Linked DNA regions of Oryzias latipes. The protein of the gene in region 1 interacts with the protein of each later gene in a pairwise test. Links are inferred from orthologs where the notes say so. Each region holds a gene or a part of one and is shown in the gene's direction. Other genes may lie near its edges.

Region 1 (3,500 bases):
GAGCCGAATTCTCCGCAGGTCCGTCTGCTAAACACGTTCTGCTCAAATAAACAGGCAGAGCCAAGAGCCACATCTGCACTCGTCACCTCCAAAGGGCCGTCAGCTGACGCGGCGCCCGGCTGCAAGCGTGAAGCAGACGGCCACATGATAACAATGAGGGCTCATCTGACTGCCGGCGTGATCGAAAACCCCATCCCAGGAATGACTTCCTGTCACGGACCGTAAACAGGAAACGCCCCCAAAAAAACCTGAAAACAACTGAAGGAGAGATTTCAAAATAATGAACTGAGGTTTGGGATAAATTTAAGAGATGACTAAATATTAGATATTAAATAAATAAAAATTATATTTTCAAAAAGTTCACTCTGAATTATTTCAGGCTAAAAATCATTTTTAATTAAAACATTAAAAAAAATTTGTTTTTTTTAACTAAAAACTACTTCAGACTAATTTCTTCTTTGCAACTCAAAATGAGTATATAAGATAATTAGGATAAAATATAAAGATTACTTTGTGATCAACCAAAAAATAAACAAGAGAAATGTTTAACTCCTGAATTTGTGGGTCAGAGCTTCGTCTCTTTGGGCTCAGAGAACCTCTGTGGGGATCAGCTGAGCGGTTCCGCTGTAGTCGCAGACAGAACCGGAGCGGATTCATGTCAGGGTGTTTAGGGATGTTTTTTCCGCTGGTCTTCGTGGTCCTGAAGCTTTGCAGACGACACGTTTCTTTGATTCTTTCAACCTTCATTGGTCACTACAAAGGTTCTGATTTTCTGTGAGCATCCAGACTGAAACCACTGGACATTTCATCCAGAAGAGTATAATCAAAGCTTTTCACTGTGCCTGCTGTCAAAGAGGCTTTTTAAAGACAAATCCATGGATCTCCTGTAACCACTTTATTTTTTATTGACACCGTAAATGTTTGTGACTGAGATCTTTGTTCCTGAATGTAGTAGAAGTTAACTCACAACTGTTGACAGCAGTGGAAGTAATCTGGTTTCTATCCTATACCATCATTTATTCTGCAGGAAGTCCAGATGAAAGTCAGAAGGAGCCGGCATGACAGTTTTTTTGTGTTTAGTCTTCAATCGCTTTGAGTGTTGCGATCCCGTTTATGGGTCGGCCTTCCTGATCCCTTTTCCAGTTCTACGGGCTCTGAATCCCACCGCCGCGCTTCTCCCCACGCCGATGGTCAGAGCGGGCTGCTGACTCAGGCAGCTGTCTAAATATCAGAACCCTTCGCACGAGACCCTGCTCACATCGGGTTTCACCGTCCGGGCCAGAAACCGGAGTGAAACCTGAATTTAGATGCAGCAGAACCTGAGAAGTCCCTTCACGTTGAACCCATTTCACCCGTTTGTTGGTGTTTCCTGCCGTGAAGCGGCGGCGTGAGCGGATGAGTCGGTGGTATTTAGTTTCAGGGAAACTGCCCCTCTTTCCCCCTTTTTTTGGGGGGGGGGGCTCGGGCCTCGCAGAGGGAGGGCAGCTCAGCCAAGTTTATGGAGCTGTCAAGGGAGTGGTGGCGCTTTTAAAAAGTTACCAGATTTTTTTGTGGAACAATAAAAGGTGCTTGAAGTCTTACTTTGCGGAGGCATCGTCGTAAAAGAGCAGCAGGAAAGTGTCCGATGCCTGAAAAAACAAGTCTGAGAAGAAAAGCCGTTTGTCCTGGAAAAAGCAGGAGAAAAGCTCGGAGTCGTGTGTGAAGAGCTTCCCTCACGTCCCCAAACGGCATGCCCCGTCTGGGTTTCCTATGTTTTTCTCAAATTATTCCGGCTTTTTTTGTGGCAAGATGAAAGTTGGAGCAGGGACCTAATTGCTGTGGTGTAGCGGCTGCGCCATAAAAACCTTCTGCTGGTTGTAACTCCAGCCCTGCTCGGCGGCTGCGTTACGCTCCGGATTTTCCTTATTTTTTTTTTTTTTTGGTCTTTTGAGGTGGTGTCTGAGGGAATCGGGGAGAGCAGAAGTTTCAGAGATGGAGTCAAGGTCAAAGGTCACCAGAATGCCAGCGGCAGGCCGGGAAGTCACGTGTCTAGTGTCGGAACATCTCAGGAGGAGGACTGCATCTCAGAGACAGCAGAGAAGCTGCAGGTCCGACGGCAGGAGTAACGCACAGAACCGGACCGCAGATGAATTAGCCGGCAGTTGCTGCTGCCATCCACCACCGTCTGCACTTGAAGCTCATCCAGCAGACAAACCGCAGCTCACAACTGGAAGGTTCTGGAAGCCAAACGTGTTTTCTTTGGAAAGTTGTGGGAAATATCCACAACACAAAGCGTTTCTGCAGAGCTGGAGGGACCGCGACTCTCCAGCCTGAGTTGTGCACTTTTGTTGTTTGAAACGATTCCGCCTCCTGAAGGAGGATTTTCCTGACAACCAGTGAGTTTAATGAAATGAAAGCTGCAGATTCTTCAAATCAAATCCCTGTTGGGAGTGAGGGCCCGCCTGCAGCCGGGGGCCTCGCCGCAGGCCGCCGCCGCATGTGCTGCTGTCGCCCAGCCGCTGAAAGAATTCGGAAACACTGACAGGCCGCTCTCCCCGGTGCTTTTAGTTTGCCCCACTGTCCTGCACCTGCCCCCCAGCTCTGTAAATCTGCTCCCATACCAACTCGACCCTTTTCTGCTTTCAGAGTCCCAGGACGGGAACTACAAGTCTGACGGCAGCGGCAAACCCAGGAAGGAGCGGACGGCCTTCACCAAGGAGCAGATCCGCGAGCTGGAGGCCGAGTTCGCCCACCACAACTACCTAACCAGACTAAGGCGCTACGAGATCGCCGTCAACCTGGACCTGACTGAGAGACAAGTAAGTCGCAGCTTGGTCCCCCCGGGTTTCCCTCCATTAGCACATTAATGCCGTGTTGTGAAAACAGAGCTGGCCTCAGGACGACGACTGGCTCTCTGTAGCTCCGTCTGGGGGCTCCAGATGTGGCCACGGGACGGGGGCTCTCATGTTCCAGATGTTCCCTCGGGCGGAGGGAAGTTCTGTGGAGCTCGCACTTCCCAACACCAGAGCAGCAGACAATCGCTTCAGGGAAGGAAGCGGCCCACTACCTGTTGTTGTCGGGAAACCTTCTGCAGGAAAGGCAGAGGAAAATCCACTGCTCCCCAAAATATCACTTGAGCTTTTTTATGCTGCTTTTCAAATCCCAACCACTTTTGTGTTTTTATCCGATTTACTCTTAAAACATCCACAAAGAAAATGTCCCAAAATGGACTTAATTTGTGTTCTTAGATGTTTCTAACCTTTTTCTTCTCCTCTTTGTTGGCAGCAAACAAACATCAGAGACATTTTTCCTCCAAAGTAGATCCTTGAATCAAATTCTTCTATCGTTCCCAAAACTGCAGTTAACAGTCAAAACAAGCAGGTTGTGATGATTTTATCGGCATTTGTTTCCTGGAAACGGATCCAAGTCGACGCCGTTCTGACGGGTCTGTTATTTATGAATCTTTAGCTTCATTCATCAGAAACGCTTTAAGGATTATTTGAAGAATGAAGGTAAATTTG
Region 2 (4,136 bases), on another chromosome or scaffold:
AAGAAAAAAGCAAAAAGTAGTACACTTGAAGTATTTTTTGTTAAGTATGCATGAATGTAAGTATATCAAGCATATTATAGATCAGAGGTCTGCAACATCTAAAGTGAAAAGTGTAACTTGGGTCTACATCTTAACACCTAAAAACATGCAAGAGTTGCAAAATTCCACTTCACTATTAAGAATAAATTATATTTTTGTGACAATCAGGCCACTCATTCATAAAACGGCATAACGGCTGCACAGCTTTAAAATGTTTTCAATATTTGCAGTACAGCTGTTTAATAAATATATAGCAATAAAAATGATATATTTTTCTATTTATAACAATTTTAAATCTTTTTACTTTTGAAAGTTAAACAAAAAGTTCCTTTCAAAATAAAATGCATCCTATGTCAAATAAGACAGGGCTAAAGTTGCAAGAATGCCAAGTCAAACGTGACATTTACCATCAAATGACTTCGGTGCACTGTCATCCTTTTTCCATTTCCTTACTATCCAAAATAAGCATGACAAGATTGGTGCAGAATACTGGTATTTTTTTTTAGATCCAAAGGCTACTGCAACCAGGAGCTTTGCCTCTGAACATCAACCAGACACTTTGTACAGCCAAAGATAGTAATATGTGCTTTATATGCATCCATATCATCTTGCTCAGTTATCTGACATGTTAAAAATCGAAACATAAATAAAAACCTAACGAAAATAAATGTACCTAAACAAACACCCTACTGTGCATTTTTCTTCAAAACCAAAAAGTCATGATGAAGGGACAAAAGAGTTGCATGTGGCTCCAGAGCCACAGGTTGTGGACTGTTGCAGACCATGTAAGTGTAGAGTAGGAAGTATACTGACTGAATACTTTTTAAGACTAAATTGTTACATTTAAAGTTTACAATATATGCTAAAGGTAGTAAATAAAAAATAAATGTCAATTATAGTGTCTCAATTTCAGCATTCACCAGGCCCAAGAATACTTGTAGTAAACTTAAATAGTATGTTTTGCTAAGGGGAATATTACTGCACACATGCAATACCATGCAAATGACAATTTAAAAAATGTTTAGAGTGTGCATATTCATATTCTCTACAGGTGTACTAAGATTTGAGCATAAAAAATGCAATGCCACTATGATTTTACAACATAATTGGTGTGTAGGGTGAATACACATTAAGGAGCTTCTTAAAAATGAAAGGGTACAAAATGTAATGTTATCATATTTTTTCAAGTGTTACATCATGTACTTTTGTAAATATTTAAAAAGGTTTTCAGGGATTTCGCAGTGTTTTTTGACATCTTTGAACCCTAGATGGAACGAATGTTTCCCGCCGCTGAGTTTCCCTCCGGTGGGGTTTTGTCTGCCCACCGGCAGCGGATTTTTGTTTTGCACCTTCGTTAGCTGTCAAACCTCTTTTTTAAATTAAAAGTAATAATGATAAAATAAAAGATCTGATAAACAGTTTAAAATCTGGATGTGGAAGGTAAAATTTATTGTATTTATTTCCAATTCAGCAGTACGTCAATACGTGTTTTCATTTTGAATAATTTACGGTAACGGTGTAATTTAATTTTAAATATCCTGGGAGTATGGAACTCAAAAGGTGTTCTGTGTTTTTGCAGACTAATTAAATTACCTTAAAGCAACAATGCTTTGTTTTGTAACGTGGGTACCTTTTAAGATTGAATCTAGAAATGGTATAAACCATAGTTACAACATTCTATTGAAAGGAGCAATTATATACATTATATATGCTAAAATAAAAAAGATCACGTGTTAAAATCTATTTTGTGGGATTTTCTACAATCTGAGAGAACCTCGGGGTCAAAGTATTCCATAAAACCATTTTTTTTTCAGCTTAGTCAAGTCAGTACTATTTCCACAGCCATGTTTGTGTCTGTGTAGAAAGGAATCAGGTGCTCAGAGTTTGCCTGTTGGCACCTTTGCAGGAACTGATGGAGTCATGCAGAGGCAGCATTCCAGAGAGCCTGCTGCAATCTTGTCATTCTGCCTGAGTCTCATGCACGGTTCTGGCTCACTGTAGCCTCACCTGTGTGCTTTGTTTGCCAGTTTGCAGGCTGTTGAAGATGAAATAAACAAGCATCCTCTGTGAGGATGTGCTGATAGGAGGCAGATTTTTTGCACTGATTGCCCATAAGTGATCCCATTCCAGCCTCTGAACCATTGTGAATGTATATTTAACATTTTCTTGTGTTCTTTTACCTGTGTTCAGAACAGAAAGACACTCTTCTGATCGATGTCGTCTCTTGGGTCAAAAATCCTCTCCACTCTGCCGGCTGATGAGGAACAGTTCCCTCTGCAGTTCAGCGACAAAGTAGACCCAAGCGTGGTGGAAGTACTGAGGCGCTGTCGGAAGCAGTTGTACGGTAACGCGACGTGCGCCAGCCAGGGGCTCAACGCCCAGATCATTCTAGACATTTCATGGGAAAGATTGAACACAGGGACGTGGCGCCACGTGGACAAGGAATGGAGACGGGTTTACTCGTATGGCTGCCTCTTCAAAGTGGCCGCACTGTGCCGAGAAAATCCATCACAACAGGAGATCCTGGAGGCCGTCAGGACTTGTGACATGGGTTTACTGATGGGTGCGGCCATCATGGATGACATACTCCAGGTTCTTGTTCGAATTCTGCAAAATGAAATAAGCGAAACCAGTAAAGACGAGGAGAAAAGTGTAGAAGTTGTTGCTAAGGTTTGTTATGATTTTCGACACAAAATTACTAAATGTTTTTGTCATTTTGCTCCATCGCTGGTTTTTATTTTTCGCACATGCTAATCCTTTTCATTTCTGGTGGCATTTCATGAAAAAATTGATGCATAAAACATTTTTTTCTATTCCTTTTGCACTTGCCTTTCTCAGACCCGACATGGCTGAGTTTTTTAAATTCACACTTGATAAATGCTCTTTCAAAACTAGCTGAAACATTCAAGGTTGCTGCGAAGAGCTGCACAAAGTTCAAGGATTTTTGGTTATTTCTTCCTCCTGCTGCTTGTTTTTTTTTTAAGCTTGTTTTTTTTTTTATGTTAAGAGGGAGAAAATAACCTTTTACACAGTCCAAACCACATTTCATTGACATGCACGTCTTTTTGTTCTGTCACGAACAGAAATTAAAGACTGAGGGCCCCCGCAGTCCTTCAATCAGAGAAGAGAAGGCAGTGCCCAGGATCAAGTGTCCTTCCCTGGAAAGCTTCAGCACAAACTACCTGCTTCCCCTCAAACCGGTGATTTTAGAAGGAATCATTGACCACTGGCCCGCTCTCAACAACCACCCCTGGAGGTTTGTTTTATTCTCAGGAAACACTAAACTATGGCTGTCAACAGGGGGAAAAAATCATATTTGACTTGTGTTTCCCATTTTTTTTTTTTATTTTGATAGTTTGTAAAACTAACAAGTCAAAAATGTCTTGTTTTTGAAACAACACAGTCTTTCTAATGTTTAGAGTTCTCTGATGCTGCTGAGATGACTGAAACACGCAGAGGAGCATGAGAGTCCTTCATGCTGTGTACAAACATTTACAGGTTTAAGAAACCATAAATAAAAGTTGACATAGTGATGCTGTTTAAACAAAAACGTTTTTTCCCCTGTATTTTATGTTTTAATTTTCAAGAACACATTTTCATCTTTTAAAACAACGCCCTCCAATCATTCTGCAAGCTTTATTAATTTTTTTAAAAATAAACTTGACATCATTTTTGCAAGGATGTCGACCTGATTTATTCAAAGCAGCTTTCTAACTACTTCTTGTGGTTCGATTCTGTCAACCAGCATGACAAAATCCCAGAAAGAAACTTGTAGGTAATAAAAAGCATTAAAAAACAAACAAACTCCATAGGAAAAAACCTTATGAAACCCCAAGGATGGAAATATTCCCCCCAAAAAAGTACAAATGTGCTCAACTACAAGCTAGTAAACCGATTAGGTCTGGTTTAAAACAATAGATTCAAAAAATTCCTGTATTATTTCAGGGACAAACACTGAAATTGAAGGAAAGTAGCAATGGCAGCTATAAAATAAAAGCATGGGGTGGGATTCCCCTGAAGTGTCCTGTGACACTTCAGAAGTGAGAAGTGGGACAAATATTAGAGTTCTGTTCTGCAGAAACAACAGAGTAAAGGAT
Region 3 (3,980 bases), on another chromosome or scaffold:
ATTGCAGATGGTATAAATAATCCTGTCCATATTAGGATTTTTGTCATATTTCTGTTGTCTTTTTTTTATTATTACTTTATAAGTTTTCAATGTTAGGCTTAACACTGAAAATGAACAAACAATGTAAGCAGCCTAATCATTCGAGACTGGATATTCAGCAAATAAACGGGCTTAAAGATGGAGGGCAAATTGGAAAAAACTGGATGTTCAGAGGAGACAAAATTAAAAGAATCAGTATACTACCAGATCACCTTTGGCTCCCATATTCTCCAAGAAATGTATTTTTGAAGCTTTAGCCAGAAGAAAAAGACCAACACAGAACACTGAACAGGTACTTTACATTTATTTTGCAATTCAAATAGTTCGTTTAACCCTTGTGCTATCTTAGATGACCCCACCCTTACTTTGACGTGTAATTCCTACCATGACAAAGGTGGATAAAGGTGGAAAGATTTCATGTAATCCATGGACAACAGTGAAGATCACAAATCATTGAAGAAAAAAGGTTCAGCGCACTGTCTAGTGGGTCTACATGACCCAACTCCCAATGGCAAAGTGCCTAGGATAGCACAAGGGATATTTGTATATTTTTCAGATAACTTGGTTTGATCCAAAAGAATTGTCAACACATGAGTGAATTGTGACAAATATCGCTCATGAGGTGCATAAGACAAAAAGATTGGAAATCTGCCTCATTCTGAGGTAGTAAAGCTTTTAGCATTATTTTTATTGTCATTTTGTCCATCATTGTTTAAGTTTCATTGTCCCTTGAAACCTACAATCTCAAGCTGCATTTAGTGTTTCTGAATATCTGTAGCAGCCTATATAATGTTACAATCGTTTTAATGATCTTACTCTCCTTAAATAAAAGAAGCTAAAAGTAAGATATGAAAATAGTAAGAGGGCAAAACATGGTGAAAAAAAACAACAAAAAGGATTTCCCATATAAAAACCTGGAAGCTTTAATTCACACCAATAAACGTATAAAATAAAAGAAAAACATATTGTGTTCTGACAAAAAAAACAAGAAGAAAGAAAACTACTTGGTAAATTTATTTTAAAAAAACGTGAAGACATTAGTTTCAGAAAGATTTAACAATTTTTTTGTAAAATAACAGCAACAAATCATTTTCTTGTCAGCTTGAGGCTTCCTGTCTGCACGCGCTGTCTGCTGTCGCAGCTGTACGTCACGGTGACGTAGAATCTGCTGATTGGCTGTAGTGCAGGGCGGAAGTGCGTGTACGCCCCACCAGAGGGCTGACAACAAAACAACACGAGCAGAGACAGGTGAGTATCACAATACCGTGAACTCCTTTTATTGCTCGCGGTTCGTTGTCGGAGCGGCTGCGTGAGCTGTATGCGTGAGACCGGTCGGCGGGCGAACAAACGGCTAGCTTTGCTGACATTGAGGGCGTAGAGCAGTGAGGTGTCCTTGTTGCTGATGTCATGTGTGTGAGCTGTTATGTAACAGACAGCAGCAGTGAGGGACCATCACCATGCAGATAGATACTACAACCTGCTGCTGTGCTGTTGTTTTTGCTGCAGTCATGCCGCACAGATTCCCAGCAGTTTTTCTTAGCTAATTAGAAAGACAACGCGATGGTTTCGCTTTTCCTGATGATAAACAAACGTTCTCAAGGACAACAGCAGTGATCATTGCTCATCCGTGCTAGTAGTAAACCTGTCATTACAAATATGTCTTATGTCTTTTCACGTTTACATTCTTCTTTTAAATTTTAACACAAGTAAACATACTAGAGAAAATAAGATAATCTATAATTTATAGCCATGTTGGTTTGCTTAGCTTAGCATTTTAGATTAGGACAAATACTTGTCGTTTATATTCATTTTCTGCTAAGAAAGCTGCTTTAAATGACAGCAGATGAGATCATCATACCATCAAAAGAATGGAGAAACATAATACAGACAGGAGCTGCTATGTTGGCTTAGCTCTCGGGCTGCATACGAGAAAAACTCACTATGTGCGATATTTGTGATCATTATGAATGATGACGATATCAGAATCATTTATTGACATTATAATAGCAAATTGCAATGGAATTTTGATCAGCTCTGGGAAATATAGGGATACAGAAGGCATCAATGTGCAAAGATACACGTGATGCATGAGCAGTTAGCAAAACAAAAAACATTTTTTTTTAATTTAACCTTTATTTAACCAGGTAAGCCATTAAGAACATGTTCTAATTTACAATAAAGACAACTAATACATTGTTTCCATTTCACTGTAATGGTTTTATTTAAATGAAAGTCAACATATCTTAAATTGAACTTCAAATGACCTCTCGTCTTCACATGAGGCAGGAATCTAACATTAAAGGGCTGCTTTTCATTGGTGAAATATTTAAAAAGCTCTGTTTGATTCACCTGCTATGAGATTGTATTCACATGTATATAAACACTAAAGGTAACCATTTATCCCATAAACTGGGATAACTGATGATGTAAATATATGTAGTCCAAGAAATGTCTTTTTTATCTCCTGTTGTAAATAATATTTGATTAAAACTTCTAGCTTTTCCCACAATAACATAATTTACATGTTTTTCTTAAATTCATTTGTCTCTCATGTTACCAAGAATATAATTATTAACGATATATACAATTAGCTAACCCTATATTATCGGTTCTTTGTGCTGACTGTTTTAATTGAAAAGTGTCAACACAAATGTGTTTAGAAATCCCATTTGCTGTCAAAATGAACGGATGTGTAAAAAGCATGGGAATAATAAATGTCATTTTTGTATAAGTACAAGCTACTTTACTTTTGAGGACCTTGTCTTTTATAGAGTGTTAGTTTGTCTTTTCATACAAAATGATTTTGCTCTAGGCTCTTCAGCATTTGCTTCCTTTTTGAAAATATTATGTTTTTTCATAAAAGACAACATAGACACCATATCTAATCCAGACAACAATGTTACAGTTTATGCTAATTTGGCGGTCACTGCAGATTTTAACCGTCTTTTGCTGTGTCAGTCATTTCCAGCACTATGATGGATGAGCTGGTGCAGGACCTGGTGTCAGCTCTGGAACAGGCCTCAGAGCCGAATAAGCTGGGGGAGCTGTGGGAGGAAATGGTCCTGAGTCCACTGCAGCATCGGCGACAGATCCGACGCCGCAGGGGACGCAAGAAATTTCACGAATCCTCCCTTTATCCATTGTTTGCCAGAAGATGCTGGATTGACGCCTCGGAATCCAGTTTAGATGAAGCTAAAGACTTCAGGGAGAACTCGTCCTTCACTTTTCCTGCATCGGTGGCCAACTGCAGTGACTCTGACGACATGTCTGCTACCAACCACTGGTCATCACTTGTGGGGGGCTCAGTTAGGACGAGGCAGCCCTCTTGGCCAGAGTCTGACTCCTTCACCGAGAATAATCCAGGACGGCCACTCAGGAGGCGGAGGAAGGTGAAGCGTATGACTTCCGGGGTGACCTACAGGCTGCAGCAGAAGCTAACAGTGTCAGAGGTGGATCGCAAACAGAGGCACAGACCGCCTAAGGTACACCGTCTCTCGGGATCCAAGCGAAGATCTGGTGGCTGGATGAAGAACGAGAGACAGAGTGAAGGAGGCAGACTGCTGGGGAAGAAGTGCTGGAAAAGGAAGATGACGAAGGAGCACAGAGACGCTGCTGATGAGAACATGTCTGAAGGGTAATCTAAAATCCTTCTGGTCCTTTATGAAACATTTCCATATTTATCACTTCAAATGAATTCACATTTGTGAAACACTTTTAGCAGAAATGAGCATGTTTAAATTCAATATAATCCTTTGAACAGTTTCTTTCTAAAATTAAAATGATATCTTTTTCTATTTTAGACAGTAGCAAAGAAACAATAGAACCCTTGGTATTATTTGTATTGAAAATCCTTATTATTAGTATTCAGAAGGCCTTCAAACTAGTTCAAAAGGGGAATATCCCGATGAAGTCCCTTCTGTAGTCTTGAGCTCATATTCAAA
Region 4 (3,500 bases), on another chromosome or scaffold:
TAAACACAATTTATAGATCCAGAACTTAACACAGTTCTAAGATAAACGTATACTAGGCAATGTTACGCAACAAATAAATCAGAATGGTCAAGATTCATCATATAACAAATGGCTCCTACAGATATTTTTTAATTTATAAAAACCACCAAAAAGAACCCCACCAATGACGGGCTCAGTTGCATTTTACATTCAGCCAGTTTGCTGATACTTTGGAAGTATCAATAACACACACAATGCTAAGAAGAAGTTCTGAAATATGATAAACGTCAATGAAACCAATTAGAAACTGTTCTCAAGTTAATCTGTTGTGTAGAACTAGGTTTTATTATCCCACAGTAATAACATAATATGGATTTGTCCTACACAACAGTAAGTGCATTGCTGGAATATAAATCATGTAATTACTATATGAAAAACCATTATTATACCAGACAGACTGTAGATTGCTGAATTGTTTGCAAATACGAGAAACTTTACTGATTAGGAATTTTATTTTAACAAATGATGAAATCCAGAGGTGTTTTTGAGTCAGTTGGCTTTCTTCCTCTTATGTTGTCACTTCTCACAACGGACAGTTGACCTGTCATGGATCATTCTGCCATTTTTTTTTACCAAATATGAAGCTTTTCCGCATCATAGTGGTAAATATGTGCTGATTAAAAGAAAAAAAATGTGTACAAACTGAAAATGTGATAAAACAAAATGGACCAATGACCAACATGAAATGGACGTGTTTGTGATGCACTGGCTGTGCAGGTTGTACAAAAAAAAATAGCATTGCAAACATAAATAAACAGACTTGGTTGATAGTTTTAATGATCCTGGAGGAGCAGCTCTGCTCTCTTTGTAAAACTTCATACTTTTTTGTCCCTTTGGCCCACTCTCTTATTTACATATCAAGGGCTCATATTTGGACAAAAGCAGGCTCTAAAGGGGAATGCTTGTCCTGCTTTCTGCTTCTTTGAGACGTTACAAAAGACCACTGGCACCTTTTGAATGCGATGCAACAAACATGCTAATGCAGAAGCAGCAATTAGCCCAGGCTTGAGGTCAAATGATTCAACTCGAGGACATCTGTCCTGACTGTCCTGGTCCGAGCTGTGAGAACTGAGAGGAAGCGTGTGGAATGCTGTTGAATTTTAAGCTGATAAAGTAACAAACTTCAGGGGTTTTTTTCTTTTACAAATAAAAGAGCCGTTCCAGTCGCTGGAGATGAAGCTAAAATGTGATGTGCCACTGCTTGGAGTTGAGCGTTGACCCCTAAGAGTCGGTTCACCTTGTTAAGGGTTTGAGTGCAGCTGGCGTGGAGACAGAGAGCGATGGGGAGCAGCAGAGTTCAGGCTGCATCTGAAGAGGGTTTGTCTCTGAGTGCGTGTGGACGGTCGGGGTGCGGTGCAGCTGGCGAGGGACGAGGGGAGCGGCAGAGATGGAATTGATGCAGCTGCCGCATTGATAAAAGACTGATCAGAACTCACCTTCTCCCCTTTAAAAAAAAAAACCAAGCTAAAAGCAGCACGCTGCTGGAAGTGACCCAGAGATCCCGATTAACGCCAAAGTTTCCTTTGTGCAAATTGGCTTAAAACTCAAAACAATCTAGACATTTTTTATAAATGATATGAATTAGCTGTTTAAACAAGTAAACTTTGAGAAATGGAATTATTGCAGGTTTTCTCTGAACAGTAGATTAAAGAGATGGAATAACACTAATACAGCAAATTAGATAGTTTGTACTCCTTTTGTGGCTATTGTCAGAAATCAAAGACATTAACAAACTGCTCTAAAAGAACATTGTTTGGTTTTATTCACTCCGAACCAAGGCATCTATTCTGGATGGCTGTGCAATTTAGTGTCTAGTATGTAGGAGAGTGGCCGAGACAAAGCGATTTGTTTGTCAATGGCCTTTTAAGTGTGGTCCTAGTTCCCGAGAAATCTGGCTGAACAATTACAATGGTTAAGAGGTATTCAGCTGCAGGTGCATTACTTCCAGTTAGATATTAGCTGATGTCTGAAAGGAGGGGAATTAGCAGGATGTTGTATTAGCCTTTTGTAGTGCATTTTGCTCCGACCTTCTTCATGTCCCAGTTTTTAATGCCGAACAGCAAGGGTCTGTGTGCAGCCATAAAGCCCATCACACATGTAAATGGTGTGAAAGGGCTGCTCAGCAAAGTGTTCTCATGTCAATCCTAGTGGAAATGGATACAATGCAAACATTACAGCTGAACTAACCACACATTGCACTGAGTAAAAAGTCTGAGGGACGGACGCTTTTGTCTCTCGGGCTCTTTGAAAAACCGACGGGCAAATTCATTTGATTGGGTTCACTTGGCAGGATTAGAGGAGAGGCCTCTATAATGCATGGCCCTAAAGGTTTGTTAAGTTGGGGATCAAGTCATAAGATTTCATCTACTATTAGGAGGGAGGGGGGAAATGCATTTATTGTGGCAACTTCATCAGGTATTCATGGTTTAGCATAAGTAGTAAATGTATGGATTGAAGTGGGCTGGTAAAGGGGGCGAGGGGCGGGGGTGGGCTCTGCTCAGCTGACACTTGTAATTGCCTGTTTTCTTTCCAAAAAAACTAAACACACACTTGCTGGTTTAGCAGAAACGTGACCAAAGTGCGACCAGAAAGTTTTCCAGTCCGTCTGGTCTGATGAACTGTTGTGTTCTTCAGCCCGATGATGTGGAGGGGAAGATCCGGGAAATAATTCCCGCCGGGTTCACCTCGAACACGGATGACTTCACCTCGCTGCTGGAAAAGGAGGCCAACTTCAAGCCCTTTGGCACCCTTCTTCACTCATACACGGTCCACAACGAGGAGGCGGGAGAGTTCACATACCAGATTCACAAGGTACCTTCACCTCAGTTTCAGTTTGAAGACCCACTCCGACGAAATTCTTTGTTTTTAACATGTTCTCGTGGCGGGTTTTGAATGATGTATAAAGGAAATAAAGCTCCAACGTGCATTTAGTTGCGAATCAGGATCAGAGTTGTTTGAAAAAGGCCGTAGTTGTGATATTAAGCTCCCTGCTCTCCCTCTGCTTTGCAACAGAGAATGGAAGGGGGGCGGGGTTGCTCTGCGTCCACAGTCGTGCCCACAACAACGCTAAAAAACGGCATAATCGAAATGAAAAGACCACTGGGAACCCTTTAAAAATGGCTCAACACGTTATCGGAGCTGGTATTTGACGTCCATTTGGATCACTAAAATGATGATTTTCTTTTTCCCCCCGGGTCCATCCCAGGTGGAGATCAGCTGCCCCGGATTCCGAGAGTACCACGAGCGCCTGCAGACCTTCCTCATGTGGTTCATTGAGACCGCCAGCTTCATCGACGCCGATGATGATCGCTGGGACTTCTTTCTTGTGTGGGTGCCCTCCTTAATTGACACCAACCCCCCAGCTTTCAAACCAAAGCCTTTTTTGTGTCATTGAAAAACAAAGGCCCCCTTTGAGGCGCTTGTGACCAATTACCAGGCCAGTTTGATTATATTTCCCCCTG
Region 5 (4,224 bases), on another chromosome or scaffold:
GCTTTAATGCTAAAAGAAACAATTTATGTATTTTTTCCCCTTTTTTTTCTTCGCCCATATGAATCAGGTTGAAAACGCCTCAATTAGTAACTGCTTTACAGCAAATGTTGACCAATCAGGGCTGTCTGGTCTTTTAAGGAAAGGAGGCTTTTAAAAAATAAAAGTAAGAAAATAGCATCATGAAAAACATATCAGGGGATAATACTGTCATGTATCAATTTTTTTTCTTTTATATTAAAGCATGTAAAAAATTTAGGCAAATAAATTCATGAATATCAAAAATGAACATCAGAAATATGGTCTTTCGTTAAAATTTAAAAATGAGTGACAGAATAAAAGTGTTTGGACATAAATCCATTGATGTTCTTAACCTGCTGTATCCCTTTCGGGGTCACAGAGTCCCCAGAGCCTGTCCCAGCTGTTGGGCGAAGGTGGGGTACACCCTGGACTGGTTGCCAGTCGGTAATGGAGCCACACACTCATAGCTACACTAAGGGACACTTTAGACTCACCAATTAACCTATAAAGCATATTTTCGGACTTTAGCATGAAGCCAGGGTGCCTGGAGAAAACCCACACAGAAAGGTCCCAGCTGGTATTTGGACAAGGACCTTCTCGCTGTGAACTAAGAGCACTCACCGCCACAGTACAGCCCTGGACAGAAATACGCTCACTAAAAAATAAACAAAATTCAATTTCTCAGTTAATGTTGTAACTTAAACTTTTTAAAACATTTTATAAACACCCGCAACCAAAGCAGTTGTGATGTGATAGGTGAGCTGATATTGTAGTAACAAATTGCTGGGGAGGGGGGGGGGAATCACACCTTATCATTTCCACAATGTCATTTAAATCATTTTGTTTACCTTGATGGAAAAAAAGCTATGATAGAATGAAAAATGCCAGGGATGTCAACTCAGCTGTTTTACCTAAAATACAGTGTATTAAATTAAGTAATTACAACCCCCCTAAATAATTAATCACTTTGAATCGAGAGTACACATAGACAACAATACATATTAAAATGAATGAGAAACACTTATGCTCATTGCATTAACGTCATTAAATGACTTAAGTAACACAATAATTTGTATTTTTTTATGCAAATTAGGGTAAATCTTTTTTTTATTAAATAAATAGTATACTTGATACATCTATATGTTACATTTTATAGTATAAAAATGTCTTTTAATTTCATTTCATTTTATTTGTAAAAAAAAATTACATTGACTAAATTGTACATTATTTGGATAATTTTACTACAACCACTATTAAGAAGAGACACGACACCAAATAAAGAATTAATTACATTTATTTAAGTATTTGTAAAATTTCATAAAAATGTTTTTTTTTTTGTTTGTTTGTTTACCGGATGTTGTTTTTGTCGCGGCTGACTGCTTTTTTTCCTTTACCGACCGCCGTAGTTGTAAAAAGGGGAGGATCTTCGCTGGTGTCACAGACTTTCCTGCTGCTCTTCAACACAAATCATCGCCTCAGCAGCGATAGGCCGAGCTTCTAACCCTTTTCGGTTCTTTTAAATGACTAAAAACAACAACAAGTACTCTATCAAATTAGTTAAATTGTTTTAGTTGTTATTTACACAGTGAAAGGAGTTCCCGGTTCGAAAGCAGAGTGACAGCTAGCTAGCTGCTAGCTGACTTTAACAGCGACCAGCAGCTAAAAATATTCACCAGGACAGTCGCGAGGTAGGCGGGCACAGCAAAAGCGTCCTGCGCAGTTACCACGGTAGGTTACAAATAGTGTGTTTTGTCATACGAACTAAGCTTTTTATTGATTCGCAAGTCATTCGGTTGTAGTTAAAGCAGATTTTCGAAGGGACCCATCTGTGTCCAGGGAAGTTCACTGATAGTTCATGATGCTAAAAATACCTTCTAAACGTGGGTAGGTTAGCTGTTGTGAATATTTTTATTTTCTTTATAATCTAAAGATAAACGTATCGTTGTTTTCCACATCATTAGGCTGTTTTGTTTTTTGATTGATTTATTTTTAAATATGACTCTGGATCATCCTTAGTTCTAAGAAGAAAAAAACAACAATCACAACTGATGATTTGATGTTTTTTATAGCTATAACTTTAACTCTCACGAGTAACACAATTTTAGTTTATTTTCTGTAAAACCAGAGTGTGACATATGTGAATGTCACACAATGTGACATAAAGCGAAATAGGATTTGCTGTTTGTTGACTAAAGCCAAGGCTGATCAGTGTTCCATGAATCCAGCAGTGTCACGGTGAACCCACCAGTCTACAGTGTTCAGCAAACACCTGCGCCTTTGTAGTAAATAGAAGCTTTTGTGCCCTGAGCTTTTAGTTTTTTCTTTTTTAATTTGATCGTTTATCTATGTTGTTCACTGAAACCTCCTACTATTTTATCCTTTAAAATTAAGACATCTTAGCTTGTAAACTAATTTGAAGTGATGGACTTGATTATAGTGTGAAAGGTTTATACTGCTCATTTCTATGTAGGGGGAGGGGGGATCAGTGTCTCTGTGGGGACGTAAAAGGTGATGCTTGTGAAAACAAGCACCATCATGTGATCAAAATTCAATTAGAAGTTGTATTCTCTTTTAGGTTTTTAGTAAAAAGTACATTTTACTATGATTATTATAGAATAGTTGCATGTCGTTAACTTAAACCAATCTTATCAATGTTTTATGATACAATATTTTTTAAAAAGCTTACTTTGGTACTTAAGCAATTTTTGCCTAACATTACTTTCTTGTAATTTCTTAGTAATATGAAACAAAAGTTATCCTAGAGTTCGCTTAAATCAGATCATCTTTACAGAGTTCACTTTTTTTTTAGCAAGGGAGTTGAAGTCAGTCTGGCTCTTTACTTGGTTCAAATTAATAACTGAAAAAGGAAAAATAAGGAGAGGAAAAACTGTCACCAGATGCATTTACATGCCCTTAAGAAACCGAGTGAAACTGTGTTTACAGAATAGTTTCAAGTTTGTTTTTTGGCATTAATCTGCTCAGTGAAAAACAAGTTTTTCAGAAAAGACTTACATTGTAAACTGTTTGAAAAGACGACAAAAATCCTCTATGAAAGCAGAAAATAATAGAAAGCATCTGATAAATATGAATAATAAATATCCTCAATGCAAACATGAATGAACATTTGTCATAAAAGTGTTATAAATAATGGTTTAGTTCCCACTTCAAGAGTTTCTCCCCCCTATATTTTGCACAGTAAGCAGTGAAGCATCATGGGTAACACAAGTGACAGGGTATCTGGAGATCGGCATGGAAACAAGGCCCATCGTTCCGACAGCAGCGGCAGCCACAAAGACCAGGAGCACAGCACCAAGATGGTGGACAGCACAGATGATCCCAACATCTTCAACACCTATGGACCTGAGTCTAAAGTAGGAATCCAACTACTTCACTATATAATCTCATTTCTTTCATATTATAAATATTTATGTTTGCTGTTAGGGGCTAGGAGATAAAGAATTCACCCCGGATCTGGATGACCTGGTGAAAACTGCCTCCCAGGCCCGTCCCACAGTGATTCGCTGGGGTGGTGGGGGGAAGGAGGTTTATATCGCAGGCTCTTTCAATAACTGGAACACTAAGATTCCACTGAATAAAAGGTAAACCGTTGGTTTTACATCAGTTATACTGGTGTCGAATGTGTTTTGAAGTTTTGTCATCGTTTTAATATTGTTTGCTTTTTCTTTCCCTCCTCAAAGCCATAATGACTTTGTTGCCATTTTGGACCTGCCTGAAGGAGAGCACCAGTATAAGTTTTTCGTGGATGGACAGTGGGTTCATGATCCTTCAGAGGTACCCGAGTCATTTTTCTGTGCTTGTAGTTTTTGTGGAAAAAAGTTTGAGCTCTGCTGGTTTCTGGGTTGCAGTCAACATCAAAACCTAAAGGATTAACTGAAAGCGTTAACAAGCTAATTTGCTGGCAACAAGTCATCTTAACTGAATATGAAGTAACATGGTTGAAGCAATAGGAAATGTTTTCTTGGAGTATAAGTCAGTAAGAACAGATTTTAAGCTTGGCATTGGTCAAAACTTGTCAACTAACCCATCTAAAACAGATTGGACAGGATGGTTCTGTATGTTTTATAATTTCATTTTTAATTGTTTTTTTTTACCCCTTATTCATGCAAATATTCATTAAACAACTTCTGCTTCAAACTTACCTTAATCTAGCATCAACTTAAAAAGCACAAGCATTAGTGAAATTGT
Region 6 (3,500 bases), on another chromosome or scaffold:
AGCTGCAAAAATGTCCACCTGTCAACATGTACACAAAACAGATAGTGTTCACACACGCATACTTATGCCTTAACACCAACTAGTGTGAAATATTTCAGTCATTCAATCATGCAAACTATTAGTGCAAAGGTGAGCTAACACCTGTGCTCAGGTGAGTGTTTATGTTCTTCTAAAATGGATGGTGGAATGTATAAAGAAGGAAGGAGAGCGCCCAGCCATCCCCAGACCAGGACCCCCGCCGCAGCAGCAGCGGCAGCCGGAACCCCCCAACGCCACACGGCAGCAGGCAGGGGACAACCGCCCCCCGGGCGACCAAATCCGCCACCCAGGCCAGGACCAGCAGGACCGCAGTGAGGCCCCCAGAGCCAGAGAGCAGGGAGGCACGGGGGGAAAGAGAGCGCCGCCCCAGCCCTAAGACTAAGTTTTTGATTGTTTTTTTTTTGCTCCTGGCTTGTAGTCGACCAGAGTTGGGATGTCGGTGAACGCAGTGAGGAAGCAGAGCTCTGATGAAGAGGTGCAGACTCTGGCCAAATCTCTGATCAAATCCTGGAAAAGACTGCTGGGTAGGTGTGTGTGTTTATGTGCGTTCATCTGTCCTTTTTTAGATTAGACTGAATTTGTGAAGATCTGAGAAAAAAGCTCATGTTGAGGTTGCAGGGGACACTTCTTCAGGTCTAAAGGCAGATATGGACAGAAAAGCCATGAAAGAAACGCTGCATTGTCTGTTTGTCATGTCTGTGTGGGTGGTTTGTGTCGTATGTCATAGATGGTTCAGAAGGGAAATCGGAGAAGAAGGAGAAGAAGAAGGAGGGCTCTCCTTTAAGGTCATCGTCAACCTCGAGCGACTCTGGCAGCAGTGGGAAAAGGTCTGTGAAGATACAACACAATGTTAAAAAAAAGAAATATATTTTGACAAACACAAACCTCTGAGGGATATACCATATTTTCACGACTATAGGGCGCACCGGGTTACAGGGTGCGTTCTCAGTTATAGGTAATTTTTGGGTATTTGACACATGCAAAAGGCGCACCGGGTGTTTAGGCGTGGGCACGTTAACACAGCATACCGGTAAAACATGCACTCTAGTGTTGAACTATTCCCGCGATGACGTTTCTGACCGCGGGGGAGATCCTCTCAGGGTCTATAGCGGATCTTCCTTCGGGGGTTCACTTCCCCGTTTGGACCCTCAAAGCCTCCAGAGCGGGTTCATAATAGAACCAGTCTCTGTTTTTTTTTTTTTTTTTTTTTTGAAGGAAGACCTTTTTTAGTTACTGTTCTGAGTAACACAAACTGAATGCGCGCTCACACCCTCACTTTGCTGAATGCCTGCCCCCCCCTTTTGCAAACACTGGAGCGCGGCACGCGGGAACTAAGCACACACACATTTCAGCAAGCAACCATATACACTCATTGTGGAAGAAAAGCAGCGGGAGAAAAACTGAGTTGGTTCTTATGCCGTCTTCTACTGCTCCTATGCCATAGTCCCACAACTACACATTAGGCGCACCGCCTCATAGGGCGCTCCTTACAGTTTGGAGAAAATTTAAGACTTTTAAGTGCGCCTTATAGCCATGAAAATATGGTGCTTAGTGTTCCGAGGACCTCAGAAGATCCATATATGGACTTTTTTACCTAAAACTTTGAATCCAAAAGAAAAATAACCCAAGAACACCTTAATATGCATTAAACATTCACTGAACGAGTCATCTATGATGTCCACTACAGGATTCTACATTGCATAAATAAAGAGTGAAGTGGGACAGGACGGCACCTCAGCAAAGTTCCAAACATTTAGGAAAAAAATGGGTGGGAGAAAACATTTTGCTACTCTATTGGGTCTTCCCGTTAATTAAACCACCGGCCAAAAAAAAAAATTGTATTTGCAACAAAATATCAACAAAGTGTCTCATCATGACGCTCTGATACACTGACTGCTTTTCTCTGCTTCAGAATTCATTGGACTTGAGTTAATTACATGAACAGTTGAAGAGCTTCGGGAGTCGAAAGACTGTAAATGCTGGAGCCACAGCTCCGATGTTTTAAAGGGTAAAATTGTGAGATTTTTTTTTTTCACATATCACAATTTTTTAAGCCGTATCTGAATTCATACCCTACCCCTACGGCGTCTCCCCACCCCTGCATTTAGCCCTCCAAACAGAGAAATATAGAAAAATAGTGTCCTCAAATTCTTCGTCACTCTCACTCTATGACATCGACAATAGTCACCGGCCATCCTTGTTGGCGAGTAGCAGCCAGCACTGGGAAAATGCATAACACCAGTTTTCACTTGAAAAAGCCATGCTTAAACAAAAAGTGATTACGGTACTTAAAGGTGAAGGTCTGTGTATAAGAGCACACCCACATGAATGAAATCCATTTCTCCTCTGCGGTACAGCGCGACGCGTTACACCCTCACAGCGGAGGGTGTAACGTTGTCTCTCCGCTGTCCTTAAAATATATCACCTTGGGTTTAAATGAATCAACATTTGTGTGTTAGTTTGTGGGTGGGATGTTTAACCCTTTAATTCTTCAACCACTTCCTTAATTAATATAAATCACTTAACTAACATAAAGTGTTGCATATTGGTGAAAAGTTGCTTTCAGAAATAGAATAAAGTTAATTGCGTGAACAGTTGAGTGATAAATCAGGAGCAGAAGGAAAAATACTATTAGCTAAAGAACTTGTTTGTGATGTAGAAAATGCACTGAGTGGGCCTCAAGCTCCCTGCTCAGCTCAATCCTGAGAAGCTTCTGATCTACTGGGATTTTCACCCACAACCATCTCTAGGGTTTACAGAGAATGCTCCGGAAAAGAAAAAATGCCCATTGAGCGGCAGTTTGGGGGCAGAAATACCTTGTTGATCCCAGAGGTCAGAGGAGAATGACTAGACTGGTTCCAACTGAGGTCTGCAGAAGGCAGATGGACTACAGCAGCTGAAGACTACACAAGGTGCCACTTCTGTCAGCTAAGAACAGGAAAACTGAGGCTACAATTCACACAGACTCACCAAAACTGGACAATAGAAGATGGAAAGACGCTGATGAGTCTCCATTTCTGCTGCAACATTCAGATGGTAGGGTCAGAATTTGGCGTCAACAACATGAAAACAGGAATCCATCCCGCCTTGTATCAACGGTTCAAGCTGGTTGTGGTTGTGTAATAGTGTGGTGGATATATTCTAGTCACACTTTGGGTCTCTTAGTACTACTAATTGGGCATGATTACAACGCCATAGCCTACCTGAGTATTGCTGCTGACCAGAAACTAACCACAGTGTACCATCTTCTGATGTCTACTTCTAGCAGGATAAGCCACTATGTCATAAAGCTGGAATCATCTCAGACTGGTTTCTTGAACATGATAATGAGTTCACTGGACTCAAATGACCTCCACAGTCACCAGATCTCAACCCAACAGAGAACCTTTGGGATGTGGTGGAACGAGAGATTGGCATCATGGATGTGCAGCCGACAAATCTGCTGCAACTGTGTGATGCTG

What was found.
Region 2: the proteins of meox2 (region 1) and kdm8 interact in a two-hybrid assay, tested with the Homo sapiens proteins (2 studies listed by BioGRID). The two-hybrid records come from large-scale screens. The link is inferred for Oryzias latipes from reciprocal best matches to the Homo sapiens genes MEOX2 and KDM8.
Region 3: the proteins of meox2 (region 1) and gpatch2l interact in binary tests that used the Homo sapiens proteins (3 or more experiments, as listed by UniProt). The two-hybrid records come from large-scale screens. The link is inferred for Oryzias latipes from reciprocal best matches to the Homo sapiens genes MEOX2 and GPATCH2L.
Region 4: the proteins of meox2 (region 1) and hat1 interact in binary tests that used the Homo sapiens proteins (3 or more experiments, as listed by UniProt). The two-hybrid records come from large-scale screens. The link is inferred for Oryzias latipes from reciprocal best matches to the Homo sapiens genes MEOX2 and HAT1.
Region 5: the proteins of meox2 (region 1) and 5'-AMP-activated protein kinase subunit beta-2 interact in binary tests that used the Homo sapiens proteins (3 or more experiments, as listed by UniProt). The link is inferred for Oryzias latipes from reciprocal best matches to the Homo sapiens genes MEOX2 and PRKAB2.
Region 6: the proteins of meox2 (region 1) and transcription elongation factor A protein 2 interact in binary tests that used the Homo sapiens proteins (3 or more experiments, as listed by UniProt). The two-hybrid records come from large-scale screens. The link is inferred for Oryzias latipes from reciprocal best matches to the Homo sapiens genes MEOX2 and TCEA2.

Annotation. Positions count from the first base shown.
Region 1 is NC_019874.2:31,200,353-31,203,852, reverse strand, and holds part of meox2 (homeobox protein MOX-2), read left to right. Parts: intron 1-2,625; coding exon 2,626-2,798; intron 2,799-3,500. UniProt on the Homo sapiens protein: Mesodermal transcription factor that plays a key role in somitogenesis and somitogenesis and limb muscle differentiation. Required during limb development for normal appendicular muscle formation and for the normal regulation of myogenic genes.
Region 2 is NC_019866.2:7,579,115-7,583,250, reverse strand, and holds the start of kdm8 (jmjC domain-containing protein 5), read left to right. Parts: upstream 1-1,336; 5' UTR 1,337-1,479; intron 1,480-2,229; 5' UTR 2,230-2,253; coding exon 2,254-2,709; intron 2,710-3,122; coding exon 3,123-3,295; intron 3,296-4,136. UniProt on the Homo sapiens protein: Bifunctional enzyme that acts both as an endopeptidase and 2-oxoglutarate-dependent monooxygenase.
Region 3 is NC_019880.2:13,367,053-13,371,032, forward strand, and holds the start of gpatch2l (G patch domain-containing protein 2-like), read left to right. Parts: upstream 1-1,180; 5' UTR 1,181-1,287; intron 1,288-2,997; 5' UTR 2,998-3,011; coding exon 3,012-3,673; intron 3,674-3,980.
Region 4 is NC_019879.2:21,992,579-21,996,078, forward strand, and holds part of hat1 (histone acetyltransferase type B catalytic subunit), read left to right. Parts: intron 1-2,673; coding exon 2,674-2,850; intron 2,851-3,244; coding exon 3,245-3,366; intron 3,367-3,500. UniProt on the Homo sapiens protein: Histone acetyltransferase that plays a role in different biological processes including cell cycle progression, glucose metabolism, histone production or DNA damage repair. Coordinates histone production and acetylation via H4 promoter binding.
Region 5 is NC_019875.2:22,987,785-22,992,008, reverse strand, and holds the start of 5'-AMP-activated protein kinase subunit beta-2, read left to right. Parts: upstream 1-1,424; 5' UTR 1,425-1,746; intron 1,747-3,214; 5' UTR 3,215-3,230; coding exon 3,231-3,389; intron 3,390-3,459; coding exon 3,460-3,617; intron 3,618-3,716; coding exon 3,717-3,810; intron 3,811-4,224. UniProt on the Homo sapiens protein: Non-catalytic subunit of AMP-activated protein kinase (AMPK), an energy sensor protein kinase that plays a key role in regulating cellular energy metabolism.
Region 6 is NC_019865.2:27,292,963-27,296,462, forward strand, and holds part of transcription elongation factor A protein 2, read left to right. Parts: intron 1-457; coding exon 458-563; intron 564-766; coding exon 767-866; intron 867-3,500. UniProt on the Homo sapiens protein: Necessary for efficient RNA polymerase II transcription elongation past template-encoded arresting sites.